7 linked regions of the Callithrix jacchus genome follow. The protein of the gene in region 6 interacts with the protein of the main gene of each other region in a biochemical or structural test. Links are inferred from orthologs where the notes say so. Each region holds a gene or a part of one and is shown on either strand. Other genes may lie near its edges. The genes, in order: MAPK8IP3, DUSP10, NR4A1, H2AX, MAPT, MAPK8 and STAT3.

Region 1 (3,500 bases), about 37 Mb from region 6:
ACGGGGCTGTGTAACAGACACACCAGGCGTGCAGTGCAGGCAGCAGAGACCATTCCTCATGTCCTAGAGGCTGGGGTCCAAGATCAAGGTTCAGGCAGGGCCATTCCTCCTGTAGCCACTCCTCGGCTTGTAGACACCCCCTTCTCCCTGCGTCCTCAGCAATCATGCCCTCTTCCTATGAGGACACGAGCCCACCGGATTAGAGCCACCACATGAATACATTTTACCATAATCATGTCTCTGAAGGCCCAGCCTCCAAATATAGTCATGTTGCGGGGTGTCTCTTTACACACGGATTTGGGGAGGCACAACTGAGACAGTAGCCCACATCACCCACGGCACAGCCCCACTGAGACGGTAGCCCGCGTCACCCACGGCACAGCCCCACTGAGACGGTAGCCCACGTCACCCACGGCACAGCCCCACTGAGACGGTAGCCCGCGTCACCCACGGCACAGCCCCACTGAGACGGTAGCCCGCGTCACCCACGGCACAGCCCCACTGAGACGGTAGCCCGCGTCACCCACGGCACAGCCCCACTGAGACGGTAGCCCGCGTCACCCACGGCACAGCCCCACTGAGACGGTAGCCCGCGTCACCCACGGCACAGCCCCACTGAGACGGTAGCCCGCGTCACCCACGGCACAGCCCCACTGAGACGGTAGCCCGCGTCACCCACGGCACAGCCCCACTGAGACGGTAGCCCGCGTCACCCACGGCACAGCCCGGTGAGAAGAGAAGGGTGAGGGCCTAAAGGAGGTCCGGCCACTGGCTTTCCTGGATGTGGGATCTTTGCAGACTGGGCTTGCTGCCAACAGTCCCATGCAGAGAGGCTGCTGCAACCCACCCCTCTCCGATCCTTCACCTCAGACACCCACTGTGCAGGAGTTCACCCTCTGCCCAGACAGCTTGGGATTAGCCATTTTCTGATCATCCCCACCTGGCGGGTAGTCCAGCTCTGACTCCACACTCAGGTTCTGAGGGCAGCAGTGAGCAGGGCGGAGGCTGCCAGGCCCTCTCCTGACCGCAGGTCCCACTGTGCTCTCCCCTAGGCATGGGCAGCAGTGACGAGTGGTCTGATGTTCAGGACATTATTGACTCCACTCCAGAGCTGGACATGTGTCCGGAGACCCGCCTGGACCGCACAGGAAGCAGGTACTGGCTCAGCCCAGCCCTGGGGTCCTAGGGGCTCAGTACTTATCTAAGTCAGTGACTTAGGTGAAGGCGCCCTCTGCCATCACGGCTGTCAGGCCTACCACCCCGTCCACTCCCGGCCTGCACTGCAGTGTGAGCGTTGACTGGCTGTGGTGGGGATGTCGGAAGAGCCTGCATATGTAGCCGCTCTGGGCTGCCCACCGACTCTGCTCTCTCTCCCCACCTGTGTGTCCCAACAGCCCAACCCAGGGCATCGTGAACAAAGCTTTTGGCATCAACACCGACTCCCTGTACCACGAGCTGTCGACGGCAGGGTCTGAGGTCATCGGGGACGTGGATGAAGGGGCTGACCTCCTAGGTAAGCGCAAGCCTTCCCCCACGTGCGTGGCCAACGTTGGGGCTTTCTGCTGTCAGTTTTGTTTGTAATGAAAGTCCTCTCTTGGCCGCGCGGTGGCTCACACCTGTAATCCCAGCACTTTGGGAGGCCAAGGTGGGTGGATCACAAGGTCAAGAGATGGAGACCATCCTGGCCAACATGCTGAAACCTCGTCCCTACTAAAAAATTACAAAAATTAGCTGGGTGTGGTGGTGAACACCTGTAGTCCCAGCTACTCGGGAGGCTGAGGCAGAAGAATTGCTTGAACCCAAGAGGCAGAGGTTGCAGTCAGCCAAGATCGTGCCACCGCACTGCAGCCTGGTGCCTGTCGACAGAGCAAGACTCTGTCTCAAAAAAAAAAGAAAGTCCTCTGTCAGCCGTGAACTAGGAACCTTTATTTTTCCAGCTTTATGTATTTATTTTTTTATTTTGAGACAGAGACTTGCACTGTTGCCAGGCTGGAGTGCAGTGGTGGGATCTCAGCTCTCTGCAACCTCTGCCTCCCAGGTTCAAGTGATCCTTCTGCCTCAGCTTCCCAAGTAGCTGGGATTACAGGCGTGGGCCACCATGCCCTGCTAGTTTCTGTATTTTTGGTAGAGAAAGGGTTATACCATGTTGGCCAGGCTGGTCTCGAACTCCTGACCTCAGAGGATCTGCCTGCCTCAAGCTTCCAAAGTGCTGAGATTACAGGCTTGAGCCACCGGGCCCGGCCTACTGAGTTCTATTTCATATGTAATCATCCCTCCATCTCCATGGGGGACTGGTTTCTGGACTGCCCCAAGGATACCCAACTCTGAGGCTTCTCAAATCCCAGCTCTGAAGTGGTGTAGTGTTTGCGAAGAACCCATGTCCACCCTGCACACCCTCCTGTGTCCTCCACGGGTTAATTGCGTCTGGGTTTAGCTGTAGGTGCTACAGAAGTAGCTGCTGTTTTACTGTGTCGTTTGGGGAATACGGACAGGAAAAATGTATACACGTCAGTACAGACACGGCCACCATGGGCCTGGCTGGATCCACAGATGCAGAACTCATGGATGTCGTGGGTTGACTGTACCATCACATTCGCCACCTTGAAGGGCATGGTTCTGTGGTGTTTGGCATACGCACAGGCGGTGCCGCCGCCCACACCACCTTAGTTTAGAATGTTCCGCCATCCCAAAAAGAAACCCGTGCCTGGTAGCCTCGCCATGTCTCATGCACACACCATCAGGGCTGTTGACTTTCGAGGAGGTTGGGAGGGTGCCCGCTTGCCCAATCCTCCCCAGACGGCCCTGGCTTTGCCTCTGCGCTGCAGGTCCACGCCAGACCCTCTGTGCCTCTGTCTGCAGCAGCTGCGAACAGCAGGGCCTGCTTCCTGCCAGCACATGGAGCGCCCTGTGCTCACAGCATCTGCTGGTAGCCGAGTGCTGGCCATGTGGCTCGGATCCCCAGGCCAGGGCCTTCAGGCATGGCAGGCAGGCAGTAGGACAGTCTAGTCTGTGCCCTTGTATGCGTCAGGGTCCAAGCCTTTCGCCATGGCCTTGCTCCCCACAGCCCACGGGGCGAGAAGCTCCAGGATCCCAGGCTGCCTCCTGGTGTACTCCTGGCTGATTGTCTTATCTGGGGCAGGGGGACCTCCAGGGTGCAGAGTCATGTGGGGCCTCAGGCCTGACAGGAAGACCTGTCTCAGCCTGGGTGGAGTCAGAAAGTGCCCCGATAGAGGTCACCTATAAATAACATCCTATTTTCCGTCTTAACCGTGTTGAAGTGTTCAGCTTAGTGGTGTTGGGGACACTCTAGTTGATGGTGAAAGATGGAACGTTCTCCCCTACGATCAGGAAGAAGGCGAGGGGCCTGCTTTGGTGCTGTGAATTTTCAGTGAAACTTTCCTCGTGTGTGGCAAATATATATATAAAAAATCCAAAGGCGATTAATACTCAGAAACGTTCCGCCACATCATTCAGATAATGTGTACTTCTCAACTTTGTTT
Region 2 (3,500 bases), on a different chromosome or scaffold from region 6:
TAAACATACTTAAATACATTAAAATGTTATCTATAGTATATTTTTAAATATTTCAACAGAAAGGATAAAGCAAATAGGAAAAATATAATTGTTTAATCTGGTTGATAGGGATATGGGTGTTGATTACACACTTTTCTGCTTTTCTATATGCTTGAAGATGCTCATAACATTTTTAAAGGCATATACTATCTTTACGAAGAGGGGACAGTAGACTATCTTTTCCTACCCAGGTAAATGATTAATTATTTCCCTGGACCCAGCTTTGCTGAAAAGAAAAGAAGCCCCAAGAACTTCATAGCAAAAACGGTAGCTCTCATTATGAATGGTCTAGAATTGCTCAGCTTTCTTATTCAGTTTGACTAGAAACAAAGTTTTAGTTGATTAAAAATCAACTTTGTGTAAAACAGATTATAATTCTTTCAAAGACCTCATAATCCCTAAATACTTATTCATTTGGATCATTTTCACCAAGTTAAAGAGAAGCACAGGTTATTCTTCAGAAGATGAGATTAAAATGCAGATTCTAACATAGGTCACAATAGGGAGGGCACTGTAAATTAGAACAGTAACTTAATCCCAGGGGCTGCCATGCCTCTGATCGGTTTCTTCCCAACCTGACACAGCATTACTAAAATGGCAAGTTAGCAGCCGCTCTACTCGACAGACAGCACCAAAAATGGAGAGCATGGCATGGAGACAAAGGGACAAGAAGCTTGGATAGGGAGGGTAGCAACCAGTGTTTACAAACATAAACCATAGCATCAGATGGGGCAGCCGTAAATTACCCAAGATTGTACTGAAATCTCTGAAAATAAATTAACAAGCCCTTAAGAGTTTCCTCCTTATGTTCTAACCATGCCCCCCAAACCAACTTCCCTGCAAAAATTACTCATTCCAAAATGGTACCACTACCACTCTTGCTGAAATACAATCTTATCACCAAGGAAGAGGATTACTCAAATAAATCTGAGAGGAGAAGCCAGACCAGAATGATCTGCTTGATCCACTCAAGAACCTAGGAGAAGTCTGCTGGTCACGCCTTTGGGGAGTGCCCACCCCGTCCTTCATCACAATGGAGCTCTGGTATTCATCTCTGATTTACCAAGTTGAAAGGATAATGAAGAATATTCTAATATTGACCCATTCCTTTCCCTTCTTTTCCATCTTGGTCCCAATTTTAGGCCATTCTCCCAAAAATACCAAAATGACAATGACAATTATAAAGTAGATTACAGATCCTTTCACTCCTGAACTACATATTTTCAACCAAAATTCCCAGATATTTGAAGAAAAGGCCCCAAAAGCTACAAATAATCTAACCTCTACCACCAGAGCGTCTTCCAAGTCGACCGCCGCCGTGTCTCACCAACTTGAAAATGACGAGGCCTCGCGGTGGCTGCCCAGGGCACCCAGTGGTGAGGTCAGCAGTGTGTCCGGCCCCGCCCCACTGAGGCAGTCTTACTCTCTGACATTGAGGAACAAGCCCAGGCTGTCTGAATTCTCAGCTGCATCCAGAGCAAAGGGAGAGCGGCACCCCACTTTCACCAGTTGCACCCAGGAAATTCACTTCTCAGTGACTGACGGGTCACCCCTATACACAACTCCACTCTCTGCAAATTAGACAGTAGGGTCTGCGACTGCTCCTAGTCACCCCCATGTTCAGGTCTAGGGGCATCTTGACCTGGGTTTTTTCCTCTCCACAGATCATGGGGACACAAAAGCCTTGCTTTTTATCTTGAATCTCTGTTCTGTATGAGAAAAAAGGAGATTATCAAGATCATTGGCTATCCTCCTCTTTGCTCCCCAAGACAAACTATTAAAAATGGGAAATTTCTAGGTGGGACTTTCTCATTAGGCTAGACAATAGCAGGGTTAGGGAATCACTCAAAGTCAAACAAGAATACAGAAACAAAATACAGAGCTACACAGAAGAAATCTGAACATATCTGTGACCCCAAGAAAACCCACCACCACCACCAATACCAGGAAATGCCTAGGCACTTCTGGAACTCTCTGCATACAATTCCATGATGTTCTCCTTCCCAGCAAAGCCCGCCAGACCTAAGGAGAAATGTGCCTTTGTGGTAGTGGAGCTGCATGAGGGCTAGCTTGAGGGGAGTGGATGGTGGGAAGAGGAGATTGTGTCAGTGGAATTCAGAACTATATTTCCCAGAATGCTGCTTAACAAAAGTCAGAATGCCTCACTGGGAAGACAAGAAGGAGAATGGCAGAGCTGTCCCATAGAGACAAAATAACTAGCTTGCTCACCCATATGGCCTATTGCAATTTAAATATGCAATGTGTTCAAACTCAGCAACACCCTTGGTCAACACACTTTAGGAGGCTGGTTGGAGATGTAACCCAGAAAATGTGTACCTTGGCTCAAAACACAAAATGAGACAAGAAAGAAGATGACTATCTCTCACTACCATCCCCAGGTAAAAGATGCCAAATGAAAGTGATGTGCAGTGCCCCAAAGGACTGTATCTGAGGGCAAAGAGGAGCAATTAGGCTGGGCACAGGATGCAGGCTACTTTGAAAGTTAAGGCAACACTCTATGGATGGTGCTCCAAGAAGAGTGGGTGAGTAATTCCTTCTGCTGGAGCTCTGTTCCGCTAATCTCAGAGTTATTCTGCATTCAGTATACTGGGGCACATGACACATTACTCCATCTTGGGAGGAGCCATGATGCCAACCGTTGTCAGGTGAGGCCAGAAAGAACAATGGGTCAGGGAGCATTTCATAGAAATGTCTCTGTTCCCTTGGAGACTTGGCAGAGGAATGGATGTAGTTGGTGAACTTACACTTTTTATGGGGCCTTAGAATAAGCTCTGCCCTTCTTCAAGGTCACTTTATAAACCACATAAAAGTCAAGCTGGTCAGAAAGGTGAGAAAGAAGAAGAGTTTCCCACAAAAAGAACTGGTACCTGTAGGTTTACTTGTAGTTCACCATAGTTGTTCCTTCCTCTGCTCCATCAACTGTGGTTAAGTCTGAGAGACAATAACTTTCCAACTAGTGATTGATTGGAATAGAGCTAGCAGACCAGGCATGACTTGAGATATCATCCGGTGGGATCAAGCCCCCTTTAGAAAGATGAGAAAACAGTCCCAGAGAGGTGAAATGACTTGCACAATGAGAATTAGAAGCCGAATTAAGGGTAGAACCCAGATCTTCTGGCTTCCAGTTCAGCGCTGCTGAGTTTTTCTTACTAAACCAATATAATAAAGAGCATAGCAGGGAAGACAAGAATAAAGTCTATTTTGGTCTTTGGTAGCCAGGGTAAGGAGAATGCTGTCACTTCTGTGAGAAAACCCAAAGTGAACCCAACTAATCAGGACCGTGCTTGGGAAGGGAACAGGGGCATTACCTTTCAACACCAGAGGTTCTTTGCCTTCTCTCTTCAGGGACTCGAGGACTATGTGAAGTGGCTGGGAGGGCATCACTCGGCTCGGCTCATTGGTATTCTCATCATAGACTATAATTTCTTTGGAAAAGATCC
Region 3 (4,014 bases), on a different chromosome or scaffold from region 6:
CACCCAGTCAGCCCCAACCCCATTGCTCCAACCTTGGCCCGCCTGGCCTTCCTGACCAGCCACTCCTGAGTGGGCAGCTGCTGGGGGAGAAGGATTTGCTAAGGAGAGGATGGTTCCCCCCAATCCCACCCAGTCAGCCCCAACCCCATTGCTCCAACCTTGGCCTGCCTGGCCTTCCTGACCAGCCACTCCTGAGTGGGCAGCTGCTGGGGGAGAAAGATTTGCTCAGGACAGGATGGTTCTCCCATTTCCAAAGACGGCTCCAGTCACGTCGGAGACAGGAACATTCCAAGTGCCTGCAGCCCCAGGAAGATTCTTACCGTGGAAGCCTGGGCCTGGAGACTCTGGTTAGGCGAGGGTGGGCCTCCCAGGGCTTCCTGGCCACGGCGGTGGGCCACTGAGAGCATTAAGCACTCTTGTGGACTGGGGAGAGCAGGGAGGAGAACCAGCTCCGAGGGTATACTGTGTACAAGGCACCTCTGCAGCTGTTATTGTCCTGACAACCAGAAAGGGTGGATAATCGGACATATCATCTTCATTTTAGAGCTGAGGAAGCTGAGGCTCCGAGAGGTCAAGCGACTGCCCTAGGCCACACAGTGGCATGGGAGCAGCCAGATCAGTGAATCCATCACCTGGGCTTTGCCGCGGCCTGCTCCCGCTCCTCGGGAAGTGCCCTCTTCAGGAGAAATCTCACCCTCTGAGGAAGTCGTTTTTTTCTATAAGCTGCCTTCTCGTGTGGAAGCTGGGTGCCCTGCTACCTGGGATTTTTTGTTCTTGGGGTGGCATGAAGGCCAAGCGATGCAGGCAAGGCGCCCGCAGACTCAAAGGCCAGGCCCTGTCTTCGCGAGCAGACGAATTGCTGTGTGACTGTGGGCCGCCACCGAGCCTCTCTGAGCCTCGCTCTTTCCACTTCTTCCTGGGGAAGCCCCAGGTAAGTTTATTTATAACCTAGCCCCGGGTGCGCCGCCTCGGGAGGTGTGAGTGAGGCCTCGGTTCCCTCACCTGAGAACCAGCTCCCCGGCTCCGGCCGCAGGAGGCGGGTTATGTAACCGGGTGTGCGGCGTGGGGGGAGCCGCGGGGCGGGGCGCTCGCGGCTATTCCGGGCGCCGCTATTTTTAGCCCCATTGATGAGGCTGCGTCGGCCGCCGCCGCCGGGATTCCGGAGACGTCAATGGGCGCGCGTCACGGTCCCCGCCCCTCCCGCCGGGGGAGGTGCGCCGGGGCTGGGGCAGAGCGCGGGCGGCCGCGGGCGCGGGGGCGGGGAGCGCGGTGCTGCCGGAACTGCGGGCGGGGGGCTACCCGGGGGCGGGGGGCGCCGAGCGGCGGCGCGGCTGCAGGAGCGCGAGGCGGCGGTGGCGGCGGAACTGGCGGGATCCCAGCGCGGCACCCTCGACCCCCGGCCTGCCGGCATGGGCGCCCCTGCGGCGCGGAGCAGCTTCGGGACTGCTGGGGCGCGACCCCGGAAAGCGGGGGTGGAGAGGCGAGCGGAGCCCGCAGGGTCAGGTGAGGGGCCGTCGGGGTGGCTGGAGGTGGGCCCGGGAGAGGCCGGGCAGTCTCGGGGCCTTGGTGGATGCCTTGGGGCGGGCTCGGGGCCATGCCGGGAGTCCCGCTTGGAAACTAGGGGAGTCGGGGAGAGGGACTGGATTCCCAGCGGAACCTCCTGGCTCCGAGTCAGCCCCCAAGAGCGACCGCCAAGGCTTTCTCTCCCCAGCCCGCCAAGGGTGGGGTTTGGCCCACGAGGGGCGCTGGAGGTGGCCAGGCCAGAGAAATTCCTTCCATTTCCCCGCCGGCTGCGGGAACCGGTTCCAGGAGCGCGGGAGCTCGTCTGCCAGGAGACCCAGCCGAGAGGGACCGATGCTGCGCGATGCAGCCCCTTAGCGGGACTGAGTCGAGGAACCAAGGCTGGGGATCTCGTGGAGTCAGGCGGAGCTGGGGCTTAGGACTCGGGGTTCGTGTCTCCCAGGCGTGTTGTTGTTGTTGTTGTTTGCCGCAACATCTTCCCTCCTTACATTGGGTGGGGTGGGGGCGGGTATTTCCAGACCTTCTTACCCTGGTGGTCTGTGTTGAGGGCCCGGGGCACAGTTCCTTGACTTCTCTCATTCCCTTTTTATGTCTTCATTTTTGATAGATGACCTGGTGGACTCGAGAAATGCTGCAGAGGTGGTTTTCAGTGAATTGTGAATTTGGGTATAGGGCTATATTAGGGGCACATTGGGAAAACGCAGGCTGGGCAGAGGTCGTTAGGTTCCCTACAGTTATGCCCAATGGGTGCTGATGGATTTGGGGGCTGCTGTCGGCCTGGTCTGGGGCCCTAGTGGTGGGGCTACAAGGCTTGCCCCTAGACCTACTCAAGTGAACGTTCTTATCAGTGACTTGGATGAAGACTTAAACAGGAAGTCAGCCAACTCCTTGTAGTCACCCAGAGCTGTGAGGAGTGACACTTACAGTGTGATAACATCAAGATTCTAATTGCAGGCGACTGGGCAGAAGGATGGGCTGAGATTAACAATGTGAATGTGACTGACATCCCGGTTGAGGCCCGTGCTGGACTCAAGAAAATCAGCTGAGGAGTTCAGGCCCTGTGCCTGGCTCAAAGGCCCTTAGCTTCTGACCTGCTCTCTGGACAGAGGCTGTGGGACTGCTCTGTGCAGTGTGTACCCTCCATCCACTACACAGGTCCAAGCGGGTGGCAAGGGGGAGGAAGGATGCTTGATTTGGACTCCTTGGTTGGGCTCCCTGGGTTCTAAACCCAGTTTTGCCAATTCCTAGCTGTGTGACCTTGGACAAGTTGCTTAACATTATAATCCCTTCCTCATAGCATTGGGAGGCTGAAATGAAACAATGTGTCTAAAGTGCTTAACAGTGTATCTGGCACATGTTGTCAGATACACTGTTAAGTGTATTAACTGCTGTTTATTATTATATATATATAATATATATATTTTTATATATTATATTATATTTATACTTATATATATAAGTATATTAGCTGCTGTTGTTATTGCTAATAATAGTAATATGCCCATTTCTGGGTGGGGACATTGGCCAATGCAGAGCTTGTACTCAGGAGGCCACCAGGGCCTGTCAGGCAGAGGGCCTGTCAGTGGTATCCTGTTGCAACAGGCAGTTTAGTTAGGAAATGGCTAAAGTACTCGTTAGGAAGGACTAGAATGAGGCTTCCCACTGGCCAGTACAGGGGGCAAAGCTGGGATCCAGGGCTGGGGAATTTTAGAATCTGGGTTGTGATTCAACATAAGGAAGAAGGCTCTGGCGCTTGGATCTGCCCCCAAAAGGAAGGGATAGCTCTTGAGCTGGAAGGCTCTTCCCTTCTGAGCACCTGCCAGTGCTGAGCAGGGTTTAGAGACTGCAGACTCCGCAGTGATTGAGGGGGACAGCATCCTTAGATTCTGGTTGGTTAGAAAGGTGATAAACCAGTGAACAGATGTGAACACAAGACCTATGGTGAATAAAATTAGGCTAGTGTGGTGGGGTGGGGATGTAGGCCCTTTAGGGAGATGACATGGGAAATGAAACCTGATTGATAAGGAAGAGCCAGTTCTGGGCAGAGGGAATGGCCAGTGCAGAGACCCTGAGTGGGGAGAGAAGGCCCACATGACTGGAGCACAGTGAATGGCTGGGAAATGAAATTGGTGGGGAGCAGTAGCTAAGGACTAAAGTCTGGCCTGATGCTCCACCCCATTTTGGGGGTCACTTGTCCTCCTTTTTTTTTTTTTTTTTTGAGACAAGTCTCACTCTGTTACCCAGGCTGGAGTGCAGTGGTGGGATCTTGGCTCACCACAATCTCCGCATCCTGGGTTCAAGTGATTCTTCTGACTCAGCCTCCCAAGTATCTGGGACTACAGGCGTGTGCCGCCATGCCCGGCTGGTTTTTGTGTTTTTAGTAGAGAAAGGGTTTCACTATGTTGGCCAAGCTGGTCTCAAATTCCTGACCTTGTGATGCGCCTGCCTTGGCCTCCCAAAGCGTGAGCCACCTCGACCAGCCACTTTCGCCTC
Region 4 (3,501 bases), on a different chromosome or scaffold from region 6:
GCAATTACCCCAGGAGACTGAACAGCAGGGTCCAAGCCTTCCAGGGATTTGCCTCACTATGAGCCCCTGATGACTGCCTTGCCTCCTCAGTATGTGAGGGCTTCATCTCTTTAGAGAAATCCAAGCCACAGCCTTTGAATGTAACCAGTTCTACTAATAAACCGCTCTGAAGGTGCTTTTTGTTGTTTTTCTTTCGTGGGGTGGGCAGGAAGATATGAACAAAGCCCTTTCATCCTTACTTCTGAGGCTGGGACTTTTGCCCAAAGTTCTCCTGGAACATCCTTTCTGCTTCTGCCTAAATAGTTTTCATTTCACACAGAATAAATTGTCTCCCAGAAACACTGAGAAACAGCCATAATCTTAAATTGCTATGGTTTGTCCCTTCTCTATAACAGTAGAGCCTATTTATATTGCATACCCTTCCCACCCCCACTGTCTCGGGAAGGTGTACAAAGTCACTAATTCTACAACCCTCTTGCAGAATGAATACAAACGCTCCATTTAAAAAAGAAACAATCCTTTAATAAAATTAGTCCATCTAAAACTCCCCAATGCCTCAGGTTCTAGTGTTGGAAGGGTTAGCTGCAAAATTCCAGTTCGAAAGCCAACAGAGGCTCAGTCCAGACAGGGATTAACCGACTTGTGCTGGTATCTAGGTGCTTGGATTGCCGAGTCGAGTTTGCTGGAAGGGACATGGGGCAGCGTGGGGAGGCCCGACAGGCCTGGCTGCCAGTTGGCTTCCGCGAAAACGACTCTCGCTGTCCACATAGCCAGCCGTGAAGCCAAACTGCAGGCCTCCACCCTCCCCCAAATGTCCTCCTAGGAGGCAGTCACTCGGGAGGAAGATGTGCCTGTTACCAGGTGTTTCGTCCCGGCCCCAGCGCAGACCTATGAATGAAGATGGAGAGCTGACGTGAAAGGCCTGAGTCCTGGCCGCAGAGGGGGCGCCAGACGGATATCAGCGAGCCCATCTCTCCCACCAAAGCCTCCAGGCCAGCGGCCACGTCTCAAAGTCCTGGGCTAAGCACCACGACGGGGGAGGACCAGACGCCCCGGCTGCAGCTGCCGAGGGACGGACTCACCTTCAGGGCCGCCGGCCTCTGGGCCTGGGCTGCCCACCTCGGCCCTGCGTCAGAGCGGAAGGCCAAGTCTTCCAGAAGGTGCTGCGGCCTCCCCGCAGCCCCTCGGCGACTCAGGATCGGGCGGCTGAGTCACGAGCGCCGAGGCGGGCAGGTGCGGCGTCGCCGGTCTCCCCCCGGCAGGCTCGGGTCCTCCGCGCCACGGCGGTCCCCGCAGAGCGCCCTAGCCGTTTCCGGACCGCTCGAGCCCTGCCGGAGAGCGGCCGGCGGACGTGGCAGGGCCCGAGGCCGACGCGGCAGGGGGCGCGGGCCACGAGTGGGGGCGGACGGGGACTCCAGGACGGGCGGTGGGCGAGGGGAGGGGCAGGGAGGCGGGAGCCGCGGCCCGCTTGCTCCGCAGTCTGAAGTGGCTCAGCTCTTTCCGTGAGGGCGGTGGTGGCCCTTAAAAGGGCCTTTGTGGTGGCATGGGGAGGCCTGGCGGCCGGCCGCGACGCGGGCCCTCTTAGTACTCCTGGGAGGCCTGGGTGGCCTTCTTGCCGCCTGAGGGCGCCTTCGGCCCCACGGTGGCGCTGGTCTTCTTGGGCAGCAGCACGGCCTGGATGTTGGGCAGAACGCCTCCCTGGGCGATAGTTACGCCGCCCAGCAGTTTGTTGAGCTCCTCGTCGTTGCGAATGGCCAGCTGCAGGTGGCGGGGGATGATCCGCGTCTTCTTGTTGTCGCGGGCCGCATTGCCCGCCAGCTCCAGGATCTCAGCGGTGAGGTACTCCAGCACTGCCGCCAGGTACACTGGAGCGCCGGCGCCAACGCGCTCGGCGTAGTGGCCCTTCCGCAGCAGCCGGTGTACGCGGCCCACGGGGAACTGGAGGCCGGCGCGCGACGAGCGCGACTTGGCTTTGGCGCGGGCCTTGCCGCCAGTCTTGCCGCGGCCCGACATGCTAGCGAGGTAGACCGGCGAAGCTCAACGGCTCAGAGACACCAGGACAAACACTCTCCGCAGTCCAACTGCTGTCGCGCGCGCGCGCCGAGAGGCCGTTTTTATAGGCCCCCAGGACACACCTCCGCACCCTCCTGATTGGCCCTTTTCTCCAGTACCCTCCTCCGATTGGTTGCGATTAACCCTTGGGTGTCGCGCCTCTGCTGAGGTAGCGCGCCCGTCGATTGGTTAAATTTGAAAACCTTTTGCCCGGGGAGAAAAGGCGAAAAGGAGGGGTAGCGGGCAGACGGCCAACCACCCGCGAACGTAGCCAATCATTGTAAAGCGCGCGAGATTTAAACGGTACAGTCGGAAACCAGAAGCTGAAGACAGAAGGGGTGGAGTCTGAGGCCACCTAGAAAACTTCTGGGAAATTGTGCTGGAATAGGAATTTTAAAGGACAGGGGTCAATACTACAGCTACCGCTGCCTCCCTTTCCAGGCCAGGTCACTCTCTATACCCTTCTCCTACCTGGCAAAGGGAGAAAGGGAAATTAGACCCTTAACGTTCTTTTCTTTCTTTCTTTTTTTTTAAATAGACCGGGTCTCGCTCTGTCACCCAGGCGGGAGGGCAGTGGTGTGATCTCGGCTCACTGCAGCCTCGAACTCCTGGGCTCAAGGGATCTTCCCTGGTCAACCTCCCTAGTAGCTGGTACTCCAATCGCGCCCCACCATACTTGGCTAATTATTTTATTTTTGTAGAGACAGAGTCTCGTTTTGTTGCCCAGGCTGTCTTGAATTGGGGCTTAAGCAATCCTCTTGCCTCTGCCTGCTAGTGTTGGGATTACAGGTGTGAGCCACCACACCCAGTGACTCTGAAAGTGTGATCCCATTCCACGAAACAGGGTAACTTTAATCTTTTGGCCCTCCTGAAGTATCAGGAGTTCTTTTATTTTGTTTTTGAGACAGAGTCTGGCTCTGTTGCCCAGGCTGGAGTCAGTGGCACATCTTGGCTCACTGTAACATCTGCCTCCCAGGTTCAAGCAATTCTCCTGCCTCAGCCTCCAGAGTAGTTGGGACTGCAGGCACACACCCCCACATTGGGCTAATTTTTGTATTTTTCGTAGAGACAGGGTTTCACCATATTGGCCAGGCTGGTCTCAAACTCCTGACGTCGTGATCCATCTGCCTCAGCCTCCCAAAGTGCTGGGATTACAGGCGTGAGCCACCATGCCTAGCCAGGATTTCAATATTTATTCAACATGTTCTGTTTGGTCTCAGTTCTGTTCATTTCTTGCTAGAAGAAAGGAGAGAGGAGGCCACTATTTGAACCCTCCTCCATGGCTAATTAATAGGAAGAGCACTGAAGTGGAGTCAACCTCAGATCTGTTTCTGGCTCTGCTGCTTACTGCTATCAGAACCACCGTATCAGATTATGCAAGGGAGAGAGATAGGCATCCTGTTGGTGGAAGTACTCTCACCAACCCTCTCAATCTACCCAAAAATGCCC
Region 5 (3,500 bases), on a different chromosome or scaffold from region 6:
GAAGGGGCAAAGGAACCCAATGACAGTAGCAATTTTGATTTTGATTTTTGAGACAGGGTCTTGCTGGGTTCAAGCGATACTTGTGCCTCCACCTCCCGAGTAGCTGGGATTACAGGTGTGCACCACCATGCCTAGTTAATTTTTGTATTTTTAGTAGAGACAAGGTTTCACCATGTTGGCCAGGCTGGTCTCAAACTTCTGACTTCAGGTGATCCACCTGCCTTGGCCTCCCAAGGAACTAGGATTACAGGCGTGAGCGACTGTGCCCAGCTTTAGAGTAGTGATTTTGAAACCAAGGTCCTGCTAAGTGTCTTAGGGGCTGCTGTTATGAGGGCCTGCGGGGTGCTGAGAGGTATGGCCTTGAGCTCTCTTTTCCCCTTTGTCCAGAACTCTAACTATTCCACATGGTGCTTCTATGTAGAGCTCATTTGAAGAAAGATCTTTGAGGCTAAAAAAAAAAAACCAAAACAAACAAACAAACAAAAAACCCACATTTGCAAACCATGGCAGAGCAACCTGGTTCTTTTCAAAGGTGGTTTCCTTACCTTGAATCTCATCTCCTTTGCTCCAGAACTGCCAGTTCGGGGAGTGACAGAAGAGACGCATTTAGGAGAGGAAGGTGGCTCTGGGCACACGGCAGGGCTGGAGGGTTGGATCAGAGGGTCTGAGCTACCAGGAGTGGGGTGTTTGGGGCTAAGGCAAGGCCTAGCTTTCAAGGTTTTAGCAGAGGAACGTGTGGATGTCTTAAACATAAACATAAATAAAATCAAAATAAAAGTCAGCACATGGAGGAGGGAAACAAACTGAAAAAAGGACAGTAACTAAAAATAAATAAGGCAGGTAATGGTTGAAAGCAGTGATCTCCAGGCTGTTTACATCATGTATCCTTAACATCCCTTCTGATTAGTAAGAACAGGAAAGGGATCATCCTCCCCAATCATAGTTCTATATGACCGACTTACTCAACTCGCATCTGACAGAGCTTTCAGAAGAGGACACGAAAAATGAATGGAAATTCTAGTATGTTCTTTCTCCAGCCCGTTAGATGTTATTGTGCCCCTGAATTTGGAGACCACTGGTTTAAAGGTGCTTCACATGAATAAGCTGATGGAGAGCATCAAGGTGCATGAATCTCAGGATGTTACTCAAGAAAATGCCCCCAAGTGTGTCATAGGTCCGAAGCGTCCCACTTTCTACTCAATTCCAGGCAAGGCGCTTTTTTGTCTGCCCATTAACCCATGGGTTCTTCCACCACACTGACAGACTCATACAGCTACAATCAGGAGTATACTTGCCCCAAGTTGGAAAGATTCTATCTGACATCACTTAGGGTACACCCACCCCCACCACATGTGCTTTCTGACTAAAGTCTCAAATTAAACTAATATTAACACTGTCAGGTGAATCCTAATCTGGCCAATATTAACTCTTTTTTCAGTTGGTTTGTTTTAGAGACGGTCTCCGTCTGTCGCTCTGGCTGGAGTGCAGTGGTGCCATCATGGGTCACTGCAGCCTCTACCATTTGGGCTCAAGTGATCCTCCCACCTCTGCCTGGCCAATTAAAAAAATATTTTTTAAGAGATGGGGTCTTGCTATGTTGCCCTGGCTGGTTTACAACTCTTGGGCTCGGGAGATCCTCCCACCTTAGCCTCCCACAGTGCCTCATGCCTGGGATTACATGAGCCACTGTGCCAAGCCTGCAGTCTTAACTCCTTTTCTTTTTTTCAGTTTGTCAGTGTAAACAATGCTAACTCTTGAACTTGTTCCACATGAAGAAGCACCAGGGATGGGTGGGTGTCTGCATGCCTATCCCTGTGGAGGAGGGGCCTTTGGAGCCGGGATGCAGGAGAGATGGTGACTGATGGCCACAGTCTGTCCTGCCCCAGCGGGATTTTGACAGGTGGGCATGGCCCTGGAGGAGAAGGGGGTGTTGGGAGTTGAAAAGGTCACACTCTCAGAAAATAAAGTGGGGAGGCTAAGCCTCGAGGTGTTTCTGAGAGTGACTCAGAGCTCAGAGAAGGGTCCTGACCCAGATTTCACTGGGCTTCTTAGGCGTGTTATCTTAACACTTTCCAGTTCCCCAGTGAAGTGGCAGAGGCCCTCTGTGTGGCCAGGCTTGGTGAGGAGGAGAATCCATGAGATGGGGCAGAAATGGGAGAGGAGGGACACAGGCTGGGGCCCCAGGGCTGATGACAAGAAGGCAAATCTGGGGTGGGGGTACTGACAACCACTCATTCCCTCACTGCCCAACTGTCCAAGGTCCATCATAGACCTTTCCCTCCCTAGACTCTGAGCAACTCCAGGACAGGGATGCTGTACCCATGTGTACTGAATGAATGAATGAATGAATGAAAGCATGCATGAGGCTGGTATTCCCTGCCCCCTGGTCCCAGTACTAAACATGCACCAGGATTGACAGCAGCTGTCACTATCACTTCAGAGATCCAGGGCAGTTCTCCAAATTCCCACAGGGCCCTTTGCTGCCTCACTAGGTAAGGATGCGGAGCCCCAACTCTGCAGGTACTTCCGGAAGCAGCCCCAACACACCAACACACCACCGAATGCCCAGAGCTACACGGCAACTGGAGATGCCCTAGGGGCTCCAGTACTGATTAAAATCCAGGTGTTTCAGACAGAATTTATGTTGGAAATTTTAGATACCTTTAAGAAAAATAGGTCTTATCTAGCGTCATGGTGGGATTTTCCAGGAAAAATGCTGCTGTGCAATTACGGGAGCATTTCCCCAGACACCAAGTCATTGAGAGAGTAAGTGATGGGCGAAGTGCAATGCTGAGGACAGGCAAAGATCTGGGTGCAGTTTATGCAGTGAGTGGATGGCTTCATTCACTGTCCTGGGGATGCTTTTCACACACACCTTCATTCACTGTCCTGGGGTTGGTTTTCAAACACACCTTCATTCACTGTCCTGGGGATGCTTTTCACACACACCTTCATTCACTGTCCTGGGGTTGGTTTTCAAACACACCTACACTCACTGTCCTGGGGTTGGTTTTCAAACACACCTTCATTTATCAGGGTCTCACTGAAACTATGCTAAGGAAGCTGCAATCAGGAGCATGACATCATGAACCTGCCAACTGCTCTTCCCTGGGGTAGGCATCAGAACGAATAAATGCTGAACTGTTTAAAAGCCTGCACAAAAATACAAAGCACTTTAAATGACAGCTGTACTTTAGTGACAAATGCTCCCCACATTATACATGAGAATGAGCTTGCACATAAAGCACAGCTTCTCTGTAAACATGACCAGCTGCAGAGCTCCGTGGTGTCATCAGCTTACCTTGGCTTTTTTGTCATCGCCTCCAGTCCCGTCTTTGCTTTTACTGACCATGCGAGCTAATAAAATAGAAAAGGAGAATGCCTGTCACACTCCATTTTCACTGTTCACAGAAAGAGCCAGCTGTGGTGAAGTTGGATTTCTCCGGGTAGGTCCACGTTCTGTTTAGTTGGGTCTGGTGGAAGCCCAGGTGGTTCTCTTT
Region 6 (4,198 bases):
CAGGATCTAAAGGAATATGAAGGATATAGTTTCCAGGACACTTAAAAGGAGCCCTTTTCATACTTATTAAAGGAATATATTTACTAACAGAATCGATGCTATATTTCTTAAAGCATAATTTGAACTGGAATTCTGAGTGACTGCTAATGGGTATAATGCCTCTTCTTTGGGTGATGTTCTGGAATTAGTGGTGGTGATCAATGCACAACTTTGTGAATATACAAAAGACCAATGAAATATATATACTCTAAAGGGTGAATTTTATGATATGTCAATTAAATTACAATAGAGCTATTTTTAAAAAAACAACAATTTGGAATACAAAATAACATAACTCTGGTTCTCTACATAGCCTTACTGTGAGCTACTGCCAAAGGTTTGTCAGTAACCCCCTACTAGAATATGACATACTTTAGGTAAACCAATGAAAGTTTGGTATCTAAAGGATTTTCATCCCTTATCTTTAAATAGTATCATTTTCTTATTTCTTCATTTCTACTTTACATCAAATAATAAGCTCATTAATTAGTTCACTCATTTCGTATTCTTTCAAATCCAAAACAAATGCTACACTGTATTAAATAGTGAAAAATAACTTTAACTTGGATAAATCCATTATTTTGAGTTTTAGGCTCATATTTTGTGCCAATAGTATTAATACAAGTTAGAACTTAAAATCAAACATTTCAAGTAAACATTCCTAAAATATTAGAAATTAAATATTTCTAATAAAACATTTATGTGGTTTCTTTTGCCCTTACTTTTCCACAAAATAAGTGTCACCAAAAACCTTTCAAACAATATTCACAAAATGATAACTGCAATCATTTTAGACCCCTACTGAGATATCAGTTTATGTGTGCCTGTGTGTAGATTACGTACATACACACACAGACATACATACACTAGTACATACACGCACACACCCCACAACCTGCTTTAGTTTATTAATCATATAAAAAAAACTTAGACAAGATTTTATTTTAGGAAAATTAATGACCTACAAGTGATTCAAAAGCCCATGTCATCGTAAAAGATAATGTACATGAACTGATCATTCAGCCATCTGAAGCAACAGTAGCATGAAGCTTCCAAAACTTTATGGAGACCATTTTTTTAAAGTTTGATTTAAAATATTATCAATTATAAAGAGCTTTTCATCAATCCGACTTTTATTGAACACTTACTATATTCCAGGCTAGGTGGTGGAGAAAGAGATGCAAGACAGGCCTGCCCTCAAGGAAGTCCCATTTTGATTGCTTGCTTTTGTCAGGCACAGCACTAAACATGTTCACTTAGAGCATCTGACCTCCTAGGTTTAACGTTAACCACAGCAGGGGAATCTGAGGTAACCATTACAAATGACTGTAAGGCTGCAAGACTGGAAAAAATAAAGTTTAGAAATAAAAGCTGTTGTATGTTTAGACCAAATCTAAGTCTACTTCCTAATATTACACTTGTACTTCCAGATATACTGCTTAAAAAATGACCCAGAATATAACTATACCTTCCTTAGCAGACATGACTTACATAATTGTCTCATTTAAAGGTCCATCTATTGTACTTCAAAGCATCCTCTTCCATGAAAGGATACTTCTCTTTACCTTCAAATCAAACCTCTTCATCTGGGTACGCTACTAAACAGTTGCTGAATGAATGAATGAATGAAAAAAACAGATTTCTAATTGTCAAGAGGGTACTCGCTGGATGCTTATCTCAAAACACAATGGACTGACGGACCAGAATTCTGCTGGAAAAATCACTGAATTTCAGAGGTAAAAATAGTAATCACTGGACAATGCCATGTAGTCAACATATTATTAAATTCGCAGTAAAGACCAGGCGAGGAACTTTCGGGAATAAAAATGAAGTGTTCATCAGGGTACTTTAAAATGGCCTTGGTTCTACCATCTCTGAATTGGGAACACAAATGTGAGACAAAGAGATGGGAGGGCGGGGTGAAAAAGTCAAAAGGTCACCACCGAGTGACCCCCAAGAGAAATGCGCGCTGACCACTGAAGCTCGGGCCGAGCTGGGTGGACACCTCCCGCCCAAGCCACCGGCCTGAGCTCTGCCTCGCAGCCCAGAGCTGAAGGCCACCCCGGCCCTTTTCAGCGCTGCTGCCTGCGTTCGCCCAGAACGTTAGCACAAAGAAACCACCGAGAAGCAAAATACGGTCCCCATGGGCTCGGGGCAGGCTTGGGGACCCGGCGGCAGGAGCGCTCTCCTCGGCTCCTCGCCGCCCGGGAGGCAGCCAGGGAGCGGCGGGCCGCGGAGATGCCTCCGTCCGACCCTCGCCGAAGTGTTTCAGAACTTGCCACCCACCCCCCGCTCCATTTTCTCCTCCCGACTCGGAGGCAGGACCCGCGCAAGGAGGACGCGAGAGGACAGGCGGGCGGGGCTCACGGTGGCGGGCGGGCGGACAGGCGGCCGGCGGAGCGCGCTCAGGTCCCGCAGCCCCACGCCCCCTCGTCCGGCCCCCGCCTCCGCGCCGCTATTGTTCCCGCACCGCCCCCGCCCGCCGCGCGCTCTCGTCCCCACTCTCGGGAGGGGGTCACGGCTGAGAAGGCTGCGGCGGCGACGGCACAATAACATAAACACGGCGGGGCCGCCGGCCGCCCTGGCCCTGCGGCTCCCGCCGCACTCACCCGGCAGCGCAGCGAAAGGCGACAGGGAAGCCCGCCAGCGGAGACAGGGGCCGTCCGGGCGGTCGCCGCGGCCGCTACCCGGCGCAGCTCGCGGCTCAGCTTTCCGAGCCGCGTCGTCCGGCCTCAGCGGCTCCGCTGACTAACAGGGACGCGGGCCGTCACCGCGCACGCCCGCCTACGTCATCGCGCAGGGCCCTGCCCCCGCGCTTCCCGAGCGGCCTGCGGGGCGGGGCAGCCCCGGGGCCCGGATTGCGGGGGCGGGGCGCCGCCCGAGGGCGGGGCTACTCCAGTGGGCCGAGGGACTTGCGGAGGTGGCCTGGAGGCGGAGCCGCGGGGAGAGCCTCCGAGGGCGGTGGTGAGGGGCATGGCCAGGAGCGGGAGGGGCGGGGCCCTGAGGCGGCACGTGTTGGCGCGTGGCACCAGGGGACCGCGTCTGGCTGGCACCGGTAGCCAGGTCCTTGCTTAAGCCTTCGGGCCTCGCTGGCACAGGGTTGAAGGGCAGGTGCGCTTAGGCCAAATATGCCCGGCGAACAGGCACTCTTCCACTCCATACACATCTGAGCGATGAAAAGCTGTTTACCTTGACCAACAGTAGTTCCATTCCGAGGACACCTGTCCGGGTCCCAGCAACCCACAGAGAGATAAGTGTTCTCTTCACCTGCCCTAGAAAAGCTGCCTCCTGTTTTCCCAAAATCCACGTCCTCCGAGATTCCTTGCAAATCCAACTCTTCCCAGATGCCTTGCATTACCTGGCTTACCTCTGAGGCACCACAAAGCGTGTAAATGTTACAGAAGCGATAAATTGACGAGCCCTTTAAATATCCAACAACGGGTGGAAATTACCTACATCAATTCGGTAGAATACATTTTAGCAATTTAAAGGCCATGTGTTCAAGGAATTCTTAACAACATAGAAAAATGTTCACAATATATCATTAAGAGAAAGAAGCACAAAACAGGTCTTATATATAGAATGATCCCACTTAGATACTATATATACACATAGAAAAAACCTGGAAAGAAATACACCAAATTATGTTAACAGTCGTTCATCATTGGACTATGGAATAAAGGGTGACTTGGTTCTCTTTCACACTTTGGGTATTTTCTCATGTTTTCCGAGAATAATAGTTATGTTCACAATCGGAAACAAGTAAGTTACTTTAATAATAAATATATAAATATTTACATATTTATATATTTTTATAAATATATCTATAATGATTTGTTTTTATAATAAATATAATTTTTATAAATATTATATATATATGTATGTTGGGCTGGCCTGTTTCTGGTGATTCTGAAAAGGAACATACAGGTGATTATTCATTAATTCTCATCCCAGTTTCTCTCTCCCTCCTTTTCAACCTTCTTAATTTCCTGCCATCCTTTATTCCTGCAATAATTATTTATTGCATGCCCATTCAGTGCCAGGCAATACAATAGAGTTTACAGATTTAATCACTGTGCTATCAAAGTAATAGCAGTAAACACATGCAAAATTATCACTGTCTTATAATACAAATTGTCAAGGATACATAATATTATGA
Region 7 (3,500 bases), on a different chromosome or scaffold from region 6:
TTGCACCTGGGAGGTGGAGGTTGCGGTGACCCAAGATTTTGCCACTGTGCTCTAGCCTGGGCAACAGTGAAACTCTGTCTCAAAAATAAGTAAATAAAATGAAACATAGCAGTCTTTTTAAAAAATGCAGAATTTTACTTGACAGTAGAGTGAAGTAGCCTGTATGCAATGACATGGGAAAATGTACATGACATATTTAGAAAAGCAAAATGTAAAATAATTTGAATAGTAATACTGTATGTGTTTTAAAAATACTCTACTCTCTTATGTGCATTCATATTTATAGTAAGAAATTCTGGAGAAATATACACCCAGCAGTGCTATGTATTAGTGCTGCCATCAGTATCCATGGCTATTCTAAACTGTCTCTGTGATACTTGCATTTTAAACTGAATATATGACTTTTATTATCAGAAAAGGTATTAAAAATCAATTAGAATTCAATTTCTTTCTTTCTTTTTTTTTTTTTTTTTTTGAGACAGAGTCTTGCTCTCACTCAGGCTGGAATGCAGTGGTGTGATCTTGACTCACTGCAACCTCTGCCTCCCGGGTTCAAGTGATTCTCCTACCTCAGCCTCCCGAGTAGCTGGGACTGCAGGCACACGCTACCAGGCCCAGCTGATTTTTGTATTTTTAGTAGAAACGGGGTTTCACCATATTGGTCAGGCTGGTCTTGAACTCCTGAACTCATGATCTGCCCACCTTGGCCTCCCAAAGTGCCAGGATTACAGGCATGAGCCACTGCATCTGGCCCAGAATTCAATTTCTGAGAATTCATTGGTAACTGTTACTTAAAATAAGGTTGCTATACTGATGTAAGACATTGTTACAGTCACTTTGGCGCAGTATAAATTGTTATAGTCAATTAGGCAGTATAAAAATGAACATACCCTGTAAACCAACAGTGCCATTTCAGGATTCAACAACAGAGAAATCTTTGCATATATGTACCAGGAAACATGTATAAAGTGCAGAGCAGCCTGATTATAAGCTCTAAAGCAACCCAAATAAATATCCATCAATATTAGAATGAATAAATATGTGATTTGTGGTTTAGACATACAATGGAATACTACACAGCTGTGAAAAGGAATACATTGCAGATACACATAACCATGTGCATTCATTTTACATTGAGTGAAAAGTGAATCACAAAAGAATACATTGGATCCATATGTGTAAGGTTCACTAAACAATGCCCATATTAATTAGAGAAACAAATATGATAAAACTGTAAAAAAAAAAAGACTAGGAAATGATAAACTCAGAAGACAAAATAGTTATTTTTGAGGGAGGAGGGAAGGGGATGGGGTTTGGGAAGGGCATCTAGAGAATTTGAGGAGTGATGGCCTTTTCCTTAGATTGAATGGTGGGTCCACATTGTTTTGTTATTTTTGTGCCTTACATAATTTACGAATAACCAATGTAGTATTATAATACTATGTAGTATTATAATACAAACTGAGGAAAGCATTAGGTTGAGGATCATAGCATTGGAGGTTCTTCATGTTGAAGAGAGTAAGCAAGTTGTGTCCCTGGAAGTTTGTGGCCACCTGGTGGCTTACCCTTCTTGGTGTGGTGAGGCTTGGCATGTCACTTTCCTTGGCTGTGGCTGCCAGTACTGAATGCCATTCTCTCTGAGGAAAGGCATCCTTCTCTTTTTAAATTTTTATTTATTTATTTTTGAGATGGAGTTTCACTCTTGTTGCCCAGGCTGGAGTACAGTGGTGCAATCTTGGCTCACCACAACCTCCGCCTCCTGGGTTCAAGTGATTTTCCCGCCTCAGCCTCCTGAGTAGCTGGGATTACAGGCACGTGCCACCACCCCCAGCTAACACTTGTATTTTTTACAGAGATGGAGTTTTGCTGTGCTACTTATTTTGTATTTTGTGCAGAGATGGAGTTTTGCTCGAACTCCTGGACTCAAGCAGTCCTCCTGCTTTGGCCTCCCGAAGTGCTGGGATTACAAGCATGAGCCACCACACCTGGCCTAAGAGTATCCTTCTTGTTACTGTAGGCTTCCCTGATTGTGACTGAGGAGCTGCACCTGATCACCTTTGAGACAGAGGTGTATCACCAAGGCCTCAAGATTGACCTAGAGGTGAGTTCTGCGGTAGAATTGGTGAGAGGCTACATGCAGGGGTGACTCAGGACAAAAACTTCCAGCGGGATTTTTACAAGACAAGGTGGAATGATTGCTGTTTGCTTAACACTGCTTATTTTTGCTTACTTTTCTTCAAAAAAATCCTTGGCATCCCATCTGAGAATGAAGTCTTGCTTGAGTGCTCAGAAGATGTGTGTATACTCGGTTGATATATTTAGAAATTGACTGGCCAGGCACAGTGGCTCATGCCTGTAATCCCAGCTCTTTGGGAGGCCGAGGCTGATGGGTCACAAGGTCAGGAGTTCAAGACTAGTCTGGCCATCATGGCAAAACCCTGTCTACTAAAAATACAAAAATTAGCTGAGCGTTGTGGCAGGCGCCTGTAATCCCAGCTACTCAGGAGGCTGAGGCAGGAGAGTCACTTGAACCTGGGAGGCCGAGATCATACCATTGTACTCCAGCCTGGGCAACAAGCAAGACTGTCTCAAAAAAAAAAAAAAAAAAAGAAAAGAAAGAAATTGATTAGAGCTAACTTTATAAAGTTTGGGCACAGTGGGTTTAGTATACAGAAAATTGTGGCAATGACATTCTCTTTTCCCAACTTTCTTGACTTTTAAATTGAGATATACCTAGACAATCAGGAATCCTGGTCTTTGATTCCTCAGACCTCTCTGTTTCATGTGAAGATACAGCTTCAAGTCTTGGAGAATGCCTTCAGGGTCTGAAAAATGGGGCAATCTGTAGACTGTGAGTCAAGCTGTGAGCAAGTCAGGTTTTACAAGGGACTGGTATGTTCTGACAGCAGCCCGAGCCCTGTGGCCATGCTGGGCATTCTTTCCACTCTGATTGCTGACTCAGCTGACTCAGTCACACTCCTTGCCTAGAGTTGGCAGCAGGTGTGGCTTATGGCATGTCCTTTCATTCTGAGCCCCGTGAGATGCGGGTGAAGAGATTTCCGAGGCTATGCGAGCCCCTCTGCCTCCCTGCTCAGTTCCCACTTCCTCCACAGACCCACTCCTTGCCAGTTGTGGTGATCTCCAACATCTGTCAGATGCCAAATGCCTGGGCATCCATCCTTTGGTACAACATGCTGACCAACAACCCCAAGGTTAGTGTCCCCTCCTTTTAGTTGGTGCCCCAGGATCTTCTGCAACTTATGGGTACCTAGTATAAACAACGAGCACCATCGCTCATCTAAATGAGTAAATGTGTTCTTTCCAATAGAACGTGAACTTTTTTACCAAGCCCCCAATTGGAACGTGGGATCAAGTGGCTGAGGTCCTGAGCTGGCAATTTTCCTCCACCACCAAGCGAGGACTGAGCATCGAGCAGCTGACTACACTGGCAGAGAAACTCTTGGGTTCGCATTTTCACCCCTCCTCCCTCCACCTGCCCA

The links.
Region 1: the proteins of MAPK8 (region 6) and MAPK8IP3 form a complex in vitro, tested with the Homo sapiens proteins (3 studies listed by BioGRID, with this or other methods). The link is inferred for Callithrix jacchus from reciprocal best matches to the Homo sapiens genes MAPK8 and MAPK8IP3.
Region 2: the proteins of MAPK8 (region 6) and DUSP10 form a complex in vitro, tested with the Homo sapiens proteins (2 studies listed by BioGRID, with this or other methods). The link is inferred for Callithrix jacchus from reciprocal best matches to the Homo sapiens genes MAPK8 and DUSP10.
Region 3: of the proteins of MAPK8 (region 6) and NR4A1, one has a biochemical effect on the other in vitro, tested with the Homo sapiens proteins (2 studies listed by BioGRID). The link is inferred for Callithrix jacchus from reciprocal best matches to the Homo sapiens genes MAPK8 and NR4A1.
Region 4: the proteins of MAPK8 (region 6) and H2AX form a complex in vitro, tested with the Homo sapiens proteins (2 studies listed by BioGRID, with this or other methods). The link is inferred for Callithrix jacchus from reciprocal best matches to the Homo sapiens genes MAPK8 and H2AX.
Region 5: of the proteins of MAPK8 (region 6) and MAPT, one has a biochemical effect on the other in vitro, tested with the Homo sapiens proteins (2 studies listed by BioGRID). The link is inferred for Callithrix jacchus from reciprocal best matches to the Homo sapiens genes MAPK8 and MAPT.
Region 7: of the proteins of MAPK8 (region 6) and STAT3, one has a biochemical effect on the other in vitro, tested with the Homo sapiens proteins (2 studies listed by BioGRID). The link is inferred for Callithrix jacchus from reciprocal best matches to the Homo sapiens genes MAPK8 and STAT3.

What each region holds. Positions count from the first base shown.
Region 1 is NC_133513.1:4,001,885-4,005,384, forward strand, and holds part of MAPK8IP3 (C-Jun-amino-terminal kinase-interacting protein 3), read left to right. Parts: intron 1-1,052; coding exon 1,053-1,155; intron 1,156-1,394; coding exon 1,395-1,513; intron 1,514-3,500.
Region 2 is NC_133520.1:6,887,552-6,891,051, reverse strand, and holds part of DUSP10 (dual specificity protein phosphatase 10), read right to left. Parts: coding exon 3,369-3,500; intron 1-3,368. UniProt on the Homo sapiens protein: Protein phosphatase involved in the inactivation of MAP kinases. Has a specificity for the MAPK11/MAPK12/MAPK13/MAPK14 subfamily. It preferably dephosphorylates p38.
Region 3 is NC_133510.1:67,441,060-67,445,073, reverse strand, and holds the start of NR4A1 (nuclear receptor subfamily 4immunitygroup A member 1), read left to right. Parts: upstream 1-1,214; 5' UTR 1,215-1,409; coding exon 1,410-1,503; intron 1,504-1,725; exon of another isoform or gene 1,726-1,948; intron 1,949-4,014. UniProt on the Homo sapiens protein: Orphan nuclear receptor. Binds the NGFI-B response element (NBRE) 5'-AAAGGTCA-3'. Binds 9-cis-retinoic acid outside of its ligand-binding (NR LBD) domain.
Region 4 is NC_133511.1:18,753,534-18,757,034, forward strand, and holds H2AX (histone H2AX), read right to left. Parts: upstream 2,090-3,501; 5' UTR 2,014-2,089; coding exon 1,582-2,013; 3' UTR 501-1,581; downstream 1-500. UniProt on the Homo sapiens protein: Variant histone H2A which replaces conventional H2A in a subset of nucleosomes. Nucleosomes wrap and compact DNA into chromatin, limiting DNA accessibility to the cellular machineries which require DNA as a template.
Region 5 is NC_133506.1:86,728,000-86,731,499, reverse strand, and holds part of MAPT (microtubule-associated protein tau), read right to left. Parts: intron 3,358-3,500; coding exon 3,302-3,357; intron 744-3,301; coding exon 546-743; intron 1-545. UniProt on the Homo sapiens protein: Promotes microtubule assembly and stability, and might be involved in the establishment and maintenance of neuronal polarity.
Region 6 is NC_133513.1:40,582,637-40,586,834, forward strand, and holds the start of MAPK8 (mitogen-activated protein kinase 8), read right to left. Parts: upstream 2,801-4,198; 5' UTR 2,649-2,800; intron 1,382-2,648; exon of another isoform or gene 1,188-1,381; intron 1-1,187. UniProt on the Homo sapiens protein: Serine/threonine-protein kinase involved in various processes such as cell proliferation, differentiation, migration, transformation and programmed cell death.
Region 7 is NC_133506.1:121,754,531-121,758,030, reverse strand, and holds part of STAT3 (signal transducer and activator of transcription 3), read left to right. Parts: intron 1-2,017; coding exon 2,018-2,101; intron 2,102-3,113; coding exon 3,114-3,212; intron 3,213-3,328; coding exon 3,329-3,464; intron 3,465-3,500. UniProt on the Homo sapiens protein: Signal transducer and transcription activator that mediates cellular responses to interleukins, KITLG/SCF, LEP and other growth factors. Once activated, recruits coactivators, such as NCOA1 or MED1, to the promoter region of the target gene.